2 linked regions of the Tribolium castaneum genome follow. The protein of the gene in region 1 purifies or fractionates together with the protein of each later gene. This does not show direct contact. Links are inferred from orthologs where the notes say so. Each region holds a gene or a part of one and is shown in the gene's direction. Other genes may lie near its edges.

Evidence for each region.
Region 2: the proteins of nuclear RNA export factor 1 (region 1) and RanGAP purify together in Homo sapiens (co-immunoprecipitation; 3 studies listed by BioGRID and IntAct, with this or other methods). This does not show direct contact. The link is inferred for Tribolium castaneum from reciprocal best matches to the Homo sapiens genes NXF1 and RANGAP1.

The regions. Positions count from the first base shown.
Region 1 is NC_087399.1:3,670,603-3,675,102, forward strand, and holds the start of nuclear RNA export factor 1, read left to right. Parts: upstream 1-1,590; 5' UTR 1,591-1,727; coding exon 1,728-1,782; intron 1,783-1,835; coding exon 1,836-2,098; intron 2,099-2,148; coding exon 2,149-2,235; intron 2,236-2,283; coding exon 2,284-2,718; intron 2,719-2,766; coding exon 2,767-2,876; intron 2,877-4,500. Other genes in the region: Rint1 (RAD50-interacting protein 1), read left to right, coding at 1-61, 169-503, 596-1,122, 1,171-1,384.
Region 2 is NC_087394.1:31,333,282-31,337,712, forward strand, and holds the start of RanGAP (ran GTPase-activating protein 1), read left to right. Parts: upstream 1-1,401; 5' UTR 1,402-2,985; coding exon 2,986-3,097; intron 3,098-3,153; coding exon 3,154-3,341; intron 3,342-3,392; coding exon 3,393-3,707; intron 3,708-3,764; coding exon 3,765-4,403; intron 4,404-4,431. UniProt on the Homo sapiens protein: GTPase activator for RAN. Converts cytoplasmic GTP-bound RAN to GDP-bound RAN, which is essential for RAN-mediated nuclear import and export. Mediates dissociation of cargo from nuclear export complexes containing XPO1, RAN and RANBP2 after nuclear export.

The DNA.
Region 1 (4,500 bases):
ATTTTAGCCGTTTTAACTCAAGCTAAAATCATTATTAAGTGGATGGCTATGGAGAAAAAATGTGAGTTGGCGTGAGTTCACAGCCTCCTTAAATTTAAATTTAAAATAAGAAGGAGGTTGTGCGACCAATCGCCTAGGAGATAATTTGTTCTGATAATATTTTGTCAGATGCTATGGAAAAAATGGACGCGATGATGTCCTCAGCCACAGTCGATCCTTTCGAGCCGCTAACTTACGATATTGAAGAGCTGAAAATAACAACATGTGCCGATGCTTTTATAACGCTTCTTCAGACAATCACGGAACGTTACGAGGCATTGCCACAACCCGGCCACCGCTTGCAGTTCTTAGACCTCCAGTTAGAGTTACTGGATGATTTTAGAATAAGATTATTGCAACTGGTTAACGCGGAACATGAAAATATAGTCGAATCGAAGATCCCCACGATTGCTAACACGATCTATTACATCGAGAATGTTTTAGTTGATTGGGGGGCAATGTTGGTACGGCTGGCTCGAACCGTGCGATTTGATTGGCTGAACGCAGACTTTCAGCCAATCAAATGGCACTATCTATACTTATGCAAGTGTTTCAGCACTATTTGAATTTATACTACTACAAAAGCCAGTTGAATGACTACAAAGCACCCACAAGCCCGTCAAGTGATTCGGACGACTTTGACCCCACGGATATTGAGGGTGAAACTGTTTTTGCCGAAACTTTATCACTCTATAGGCACATGAGACGCGACTTGTTATTTAATTTATCAGATTATGTCATGTTGGAAGTCAGGTCACAAGGTAAAGCCTACAGGAGGGAAAGGTGGTCCTCTATGAATGTCGGTAAAGACATCAAAGGCCTGTCTTTAACACCCACAGCCTGCCCTATTTTCGAAATCGTGGCTAAACGACTACACCAACTGCAAAAAACTCTAGCTTCGAAACTTTTTACGATAGTTTGGCGCTCGGTTGCGCAACAATTAGATAATTACCTCTTTGAGGATCTTGTCCTTGATAATAGATTTAACACTGGAGGCGCTTTGCAGTTAAAGTATGACGTAACAAGGAATTTACTGCCGTTATTTTCGCAATATACCGAAAGGCCCGAAACGTATTTCGTCCAGTAAGTTATTTACTCAGTCGGTAAAGTGGAAAATAAGAACTGTTGCAGACTGATTGAAGCTTGCAATCTTTTAAATATAACTAAAGGGTCCGCTTTGCTACTACGAGAGACTCTCTTGGCTCTTGAGGGGGCCACAGGTATTGAGGACTCCCGCGGGAGAGCCCTCAAGGAGGTTGGGGTGGTCAGCTTCACCCCAAAAATGGCCGTTAAGATTCTAAACCAGCGCACCGACATTACTGTTAATAGGATGGACGTTGATTGAAGCATTTATACGTTTTGTTGAGAAATTTTATAATAAATGTTTTCCCCACCATTGCATTTCATTGAATCACCCTGTAAGTGAATCTAGAGTAGAGTATAAAATGTTACTTCTGGGCCAGAATATTTGGCGTCTTAAAAAACAAGTCAGAACCTTACAAATTTCCTGTACTCTACTATTCAAAAGTCGGTGATTTTCTCAGGGAATTTGGCCTCGCCTTGTTGGCAGCGCGTATCAATGGCGTTTACTTGTCGAAAGTGAAGTGGTGTTAAATCAGGCTCAAAAAAATTATTAAAAAAACAATAATAGTTATAGTTAAGTGCTAGTAAGTAATTGAGACGCTACTATGGCCTCAAAGGGCGGAAAATACAACAAACCGTCGTGGAGAAGCCAATACAGTGGTAAGTCCCCAGCACACTCCACGCGATTCGTTTAAAACGCAGTAAATTGCCAGAGCATGATTTTCGCGGCGGTGGCGAGACCCGCAAAGTGAGTTTCAAGTCAAACAAGTATAAAAAGGACAATAGAAACTGGGCAGCGGCGAGTAGGGCGTACCTGGAAGATGAAGACATTGACATGGGGGCCTCGTCCGGGGGCGGGCGAAACTTCAACCGGAAGCAGTTTAAAGGCAGACGGGGCGGTCGCGGGGACTCGCCCGTGCCCAATCACAAGAAACGGCGGCTTTTGGAGAGCCCCTTCGGTTGGTACCGCGTGACAGTAAGTGTATTAAGTGAGGCTTTTTGGGGGTTTTACACGTGTTTTGCTAGTTGCCGTTTGGGAATAAATACGAGAAGGCGTTCGTCTTGAAGACGCTGCTCGAGCGGATCCAACCTTTGCCCTTGTGGCCAATTACGGTAATGGTTTGTTTGTGTGAGGGTTTTTGACTGATTTTTTGTCTCCAGTGGAGTGTAAACGGCACAACTGCCACTTTTTACATGGATGAGTTTAAAGCCGCGGAAAAGCTGTACGATTTAGATCGCCAGATTCAAATGCCCGACGGGTTTAAATTGCTGATTAAGGTCAGTCATGGGATGCCAAATGTTGACGTTAATAGTGAGATGAAGGAGAAAATTAAATTAACGATGGCTAAGCGGTACAATGCCGCTAATAAAGCGCTCGATTTAACGAAATTCCACGCCGACCCTGACCTACAAGACAATTTCTGTGTACTGTTCAAACCGATCATTTTTCTAACAGTTTTGGAAATAATCGCGGAGAATATCCCAGAAATTGAAGCGATTAATTTATTCGATAACAAAATAGCAAACTTGTCGTATTTAAAGAAGACCAATGAGAAACTGCCCCATTTAAAAATTTTGCATCTAGGAAATAATAAGGTAATGTTGTTGCCCAAAATCGGGGATTTTGTAAATTTGGGGATTCAGTTTAAGGATCTGTCAATGTTGGACCCTTTTATTGGACTACCTATCGTCGATATTGTTTTAAATGGAAATCCATTATGCAACAAATACAAGGACCAAGAGGCGTACATTGGGTAATGTTGAACTAATTTATTTTTTGTAGTCATCATGTTATGAACGTGAATGCATATGAGGGTGACTGGTTATCGGAGATTGTCACTTGAATAAAAAAGAGGTTTTCTGCCAACAATGGAATAAAAGTACTTGAAAATTATTAACGAAATTTGTTGTTACGCAAATTTCAAAGTCCCAAATTTTCGCGATAATTTGTTTAAAACTTAAGTAGCATTACATGTGGCTTCGTTGCATTGTGGCTGAATTCTGCATTTGGCAACCTTTTAATATTATTGTTTGACTATAATTAAGTCACTGAAGTGTATAAAAATAAAAAAAAATCACATACAAACATTTCCATGGGATTACATAATTTTTGTTTTGTATTATCAAAGTGAGAGGAGGTTTCTCAAAGGTGCGTCCTTACAGCAGTTACGAAGCTTCGTAAAGCGATAGCTGGACAAGCATTGCAAGATTTTGCTGTCCATAAACAATGCAGTTAGTTTAAGAAGACAGAAGAACTACAAGGAGTGGACCAGAACACTTAAATGTGTATGTAATTTGGCAAAAATGCTTGTAAATCAAGCAGATTGTCTTGTTTTTCTGCACCTTAAACAATCAATGACTCCTCATAGTACAATAATTATTATATTTTTTTGTTTTATGTAGTAATCTTATGGAATTGATACAAGACATAATAATGAAAAGAAATACTAAATAATACCGTTAAAAAATTGAAAAATTATATGCTCTTCAGTGGCGATTTATTCTAAATTTATTAGTTTTGTTGTTTAATGCAGGAGTAATATAAATTGTTGATCGTGTAATGCTGTTTTAGTTTTAAATTTACGAAGCTTGTCTTACTTTGAAATTGTGTAACAACTGTCTGATCGGTTGCAAAATTCCTCGGAGGTTTAATTCCCAAAATAACAAACTTCAATAAATTTTGATTGTTTAACACTTTGTACAAAATTAGATTTTCGTAAGTTTTTGAATTAAACTGAAGAGGGCACAAAATACTGGAGCTATTGTATCCTATTTTTTTTCAAATAAATAATGTGTTAGGAAATGAGAAGTGGCTGAAAATACGGTACAAAAATCACTAACTCAGAATTTGTGACTAAATCAATTTCCGTTCCTAGAAAAAAAATCAGCATAAAGCTGTATTTATTCTTTTTCATTTACATAATAATTTTTTTTTCGCCCAAATACTTCTTGAATGAGTTTATCCCACTAATTCACAATTGTAACATAGTTATAATTCCGTTCCTAGAAAAAAATTCAAAATAAAGCAGTATTTCTTCTTTTTTTATTTACATAATAAAATATTTACAACATATTTACATAATAAATTATTTTTGCTTAAATACTTGAATGAGTTTCAACGTTTCATCAAGGGTGGATTTTATAATCGTCAGATAAACCCCAGATAATTTATTTCTAGTATAATTACTATGGTTACAATTGTTATAACAATGTATTTTTCAAAATTTATTTCTTAGATAAAGTAATCCTACGATTGTAAAATCCGCCCTAAATGAAAGATAAAAAACGAAAAAGGGATGTCCCTAAGGGTGCTTCATCCAAATTGGAGCAGGTGTATAGTACAATAGTATCCTGTGGCACCATTAGGGGATTAGATAG
Region 2 (4,431 bases), on another chromosome or scaffold:
TAAACCCCCGTCTTCCAAATCCTTCCAGTCCGCGTTGGTCCAAGTGGTGAACTTCTCCAAAATATAGGCCGCCAAGCCCACCGGAGAATCGTTCAGAGCCACCCCCACGGTGTCGGGCTTGGTGGCTTGCAAGTGCATGTACCCCATTTCCAGCAAAATATTTGAGTAGAAAGCCGAGAGCGGATATATTTTCGATTCCATCTCCTTTGAAACGATTAGGGGAGGGTAAATACTGCCCAAAAGAAGTTTCAAGTTGGATAACGGGGTGTTAACGAAACACATGTTGGAGTGAACCCCCAGCACATGTTCCGGGAACAAAGTGGCCATGTTCTGGACAATCAGCGCCCCCCAGTCGCCCCCTTGGATGTAATATTTGTCAAAACCGATCCGTTTCATGAAGTTTTTGAACACCACGGACATTTCAATCGGACCCAGACCGGGGCGAACTGCCGCCTCCGAGAATCCGTAACCGGGAAGTGACGGGACAATGACTTCGAAGACGAAGTTGCGGCCTTCGGCCGGTTTAGTTAGGAGGGGGATAATGTCGTAGAACTCCCGGACTGATCCGGGCCAGCCATGGAGGAGGAGGAGCGGGAGGACTTTGAGGTTTCCAGGACTTGGGGGTTTGACGTGGATGTAGTGTAGTCGGAGTCCTTGGACGCTGACCGTGAACTGGGGATACTGGTTGAGGAACTTCTCGCGTTCCCTCCAGTTGTATTTGGTCCTCCAGTGGTCGATGATTTTGCCCAGGAGCTTGGTGTTCATGCCGTAGTGCTGCTGGGCCCCCTCGAGTGGGGGCACCAAGGGGCGCGCGTTGGCCAGGCGGTGCTGGAGGTCCTTGAGAACCTAAAACATGAGATTATGCAATCGACGTTCGCGACAATAAACGGTGACCTAGAACTTGATTGAGTGATATTTTTGTTGTCTGTTTATTTGTACGCTAATTGGTTTGGTGTTTTTGTTTACCTCGTCAGAGACATTGATTTTGAAAGGCTTGATCGCGGTGTCTTCTTTCGAGGGGTCGCGGGGGCCCCACCAAGTGTTTTCTAATTTTGGAACAGGTGGGGTTTCGAACAGTTTACTGATTTGGTAAGCTGTTAGGACTGTGATAATCACTAGAACTAGTTTGATGATTAGGCCCATGTTTTGCGCGTTAAATGCCGGTTGTGTATTTAAATTGTTTACAAACGATGAGACCGCACCGCTTGGGAGGATAACACGCTACTGAAGTTTGAACTATGACTCTGGCTTATAAAAGTTTTAAAGTATAAATACAAATTGATAGCTGTAATTCGTGCACACACTTACCTATCATAAGATATGACTTTCAAATATTTATCATATAAAAAGTTTAGATAGGTCTAGACACATCAATACTTGTTTCCACAAGTTTTTGGCAAGTTTTAATGACTTGGATGTTTGATACAAAGTCATGTACAATGGATTTATAGACATTTTGCACTAATTACTATAATTAATTGTTTGTGATACAAATAACACGGCATAAAAATAAAAATTATTGGTGAAAACGAAGGTGGAATGAGTTATTTTTCAGTTCTTCCACTCATTCTGATTCAGCATTTCACTGTTGAAATATGATGACTAACTATTATTAAAAACTAGAAATAAATTGAAATATAAAAAAATACAAATGAAATCTTTTGACGCTGAAAGATCAATAAAAAATATACCTGCACAGTATGTAAAAGCTGTACAGTTTCTCACTGTCCATCCTGGTGAAAATAGCGTGCTCTTGGGATTGAGTTGTCTTGGTAACAGGTCACTCATTTGTACCCAAATGGTTCTTAAGAAAGTGAACCTATTTTACTTTTCTACCAGACCGTACTAAAGCAGACCTCAATATGTCCAAAAAATATTTTTAAAAGACACGTTGGAACTTCTAAAGCTCGCGAAATCGTCGAAATTAAAGTTTGTTGTCTATCTGGACTTTGCCATTGGTTTTCTATATTGAGATTGAAACGGAAACATTTTTTATTGAAGATAGTCGTATATAATTGTATTATTAGGATATTAAGAGTATAAGCGAAGCGTTATACATATGTGCCAAGGCTAGTTGCTTGACTGCCGACTGCAGTCCGAGTAATATACACTATTTTTTCTCCAAACGTATAAAACAACAACATAATTAAATAGATTATTTAAAAAAGCACCACAATTTGTGTTATTCCTGAATCCGGACACTACATTGACAACTTTTACCAACCAAAAAAAAAAATTCGCAAAATGGTTGACGCATATCAGCTCGTAACTTACGCATTGTTTGGTAAAAGAACAGTGTTAACAACAATTTTTTTACTAATTTTAACGCTATTTCTATTGAAAATAGTTCAGTAACATGTAATACGCTCAGAAATACTTCTTCATTATCCAGTATGTGTTAGGTTTTCTCCCATAAAACGACCAATAAAGCTGAAATAGTGTTAAAACTCAAAGTAATAATACAGCAATTTTAATGCCAGATTTATTCTTTATTGTCCAATATTTCTTTTATTCGCAGACGACGACTACTATAATTACTATTCTTTGTAATCTCACATATGAGGAAAATTATTACTATCATGTTTTTTTAGTATTTGGACACTTTTCATTATTATCTTCGCTCAATAATGACTCGCTCTTTGTAAGAAGATTCCACAATATTTTTTTATAATTCTTAACAATCTGAGAAGAGGTATCTTTAACGTTGTTAAAAATAAGATAAGATAGGTTTGATGCTTACTGCATTGTGGTAAAATTTTTTAATCCTTCCTCGTATATCGAGGAAGCAAGCTCTTTTAGGAACTTTTCTATTTTACATGCCTAAACTGACAGTCCAGAAAAATGACACCTAACGTCAAACACTTTAAGGTCAAAATCGAGAATTTCTGAATATCTGAACCAACTTTAAAAAATTCCAACGGCTTGACACGCGTGAGCGATTGTAATTTATTAAATAATAGTTGTAGTATTGTGTAAATAATAAAAATGACAAATACCAATGTAGACGACCTTACAAGTGCCTTACAAGGCACTCGTGTGAGCCCCACTGGGGTCACCTTTGCCGGCCAGTCTTTAAAACTTGATACTGTTGATGACGGTAAGGTTATATCAAACCCCATTGCACCAATCGACATAAATTTATCAAACTCGCAGCAAAAAGCGTAATTGAAGAGATAGAAAAATGCACCAACCTCCAATTTTTAAACTTGGAAGGCAATACTTTGGGAGTTGAAGCGTCCAAAGGCATTGCCAAAGCATTGGAAAAACATCCCGAGTTTAAGAGAGCGCTATGGAAGGACATGTTTACGGGCAGAATGAAAACAGAAATACCGAAAGCTTTGGTATAATCTAACCAATTATATACAAACAAAAAAATTGAGTCAAAATTTCAGGAATTTCTTGGTAGTGGTTTAGTAACGGCAGGTGCCCGCTTGACTGAACTGGACATGAGTGACAATGCTTTCGGCCCAATTGGTGTCGAAGGACTTGCTGCTCTTTTGAGAAGCTCCTCATGCTATGCTTTAGAAGAACTCAGGTTAAATAATAACGGCCTAGGCATCACTGGTGGTAAATTGTTAGCGTCAGCCCTAACAGACTGCTATAACTCTAGTAAAGAAACGGGAAAACCACTCCAGCTCAAGGTTTTTATCGCTGGAAGAAACCGACTTGAGAATGAAGGTGCAAAAGCACTTGCTGAGGTTTTCAAGGTAAAATAAATTTCCAATCAGTGACCTATAACTTGACAAAACAATATTTCTTCACAGATGATTGGTACACTTGAAGAAATAGCAATGCCCCAGAATGGTATTTACCACGTTGGCATATCGGCACTATCTGAGGCTTTTACCCAAAATAAAAATCTGCAAATTTTAAACTTGAATGACAATACGATTGGTGAAAAGGGGGCTGAGGCCATTGCTAAAGCCCTCCCACACTTGCAACAGTTGAAAGAAATCAATTTTGGCGACTGTTTGCTGAAAACTGCCGGAGCTATTTCTCTAGCAAATGTTTTAAAAACTGGTCATGCCAACTTGGAGGAGTTAACACTTGGGCACAACGAAATTCGCCTGAAAGGGGGGCTTCAGTTGGTTAAAGCCATGGCGAATAAAAGTAAATTGAAAGTGTTAAATTTGAACGGAAATCAGTTTGGGGAAGACGGTCGTAAACAAATTGAAACCGAAATTAAACAAATAGGCAAATTAAATTCCTTGGGAAGTTTAAGCGGGGATGAGTCTGAGGACAGTGAGGAGGAAACCAGTGAAGAAGTGTCGCACACTGAGAGTGACATGGAGGAGGAAATCATTGAGCCAAAAACAGCCACCGATTTTCTGAATTCGCCAACTGAGGAAATTTTTATTGCACTTGGTGATGCCAGAAATGAGCTGATTTTAAGAGAAGCTAAAGTATTTTTCCCCTAATGTTTTAATTCCT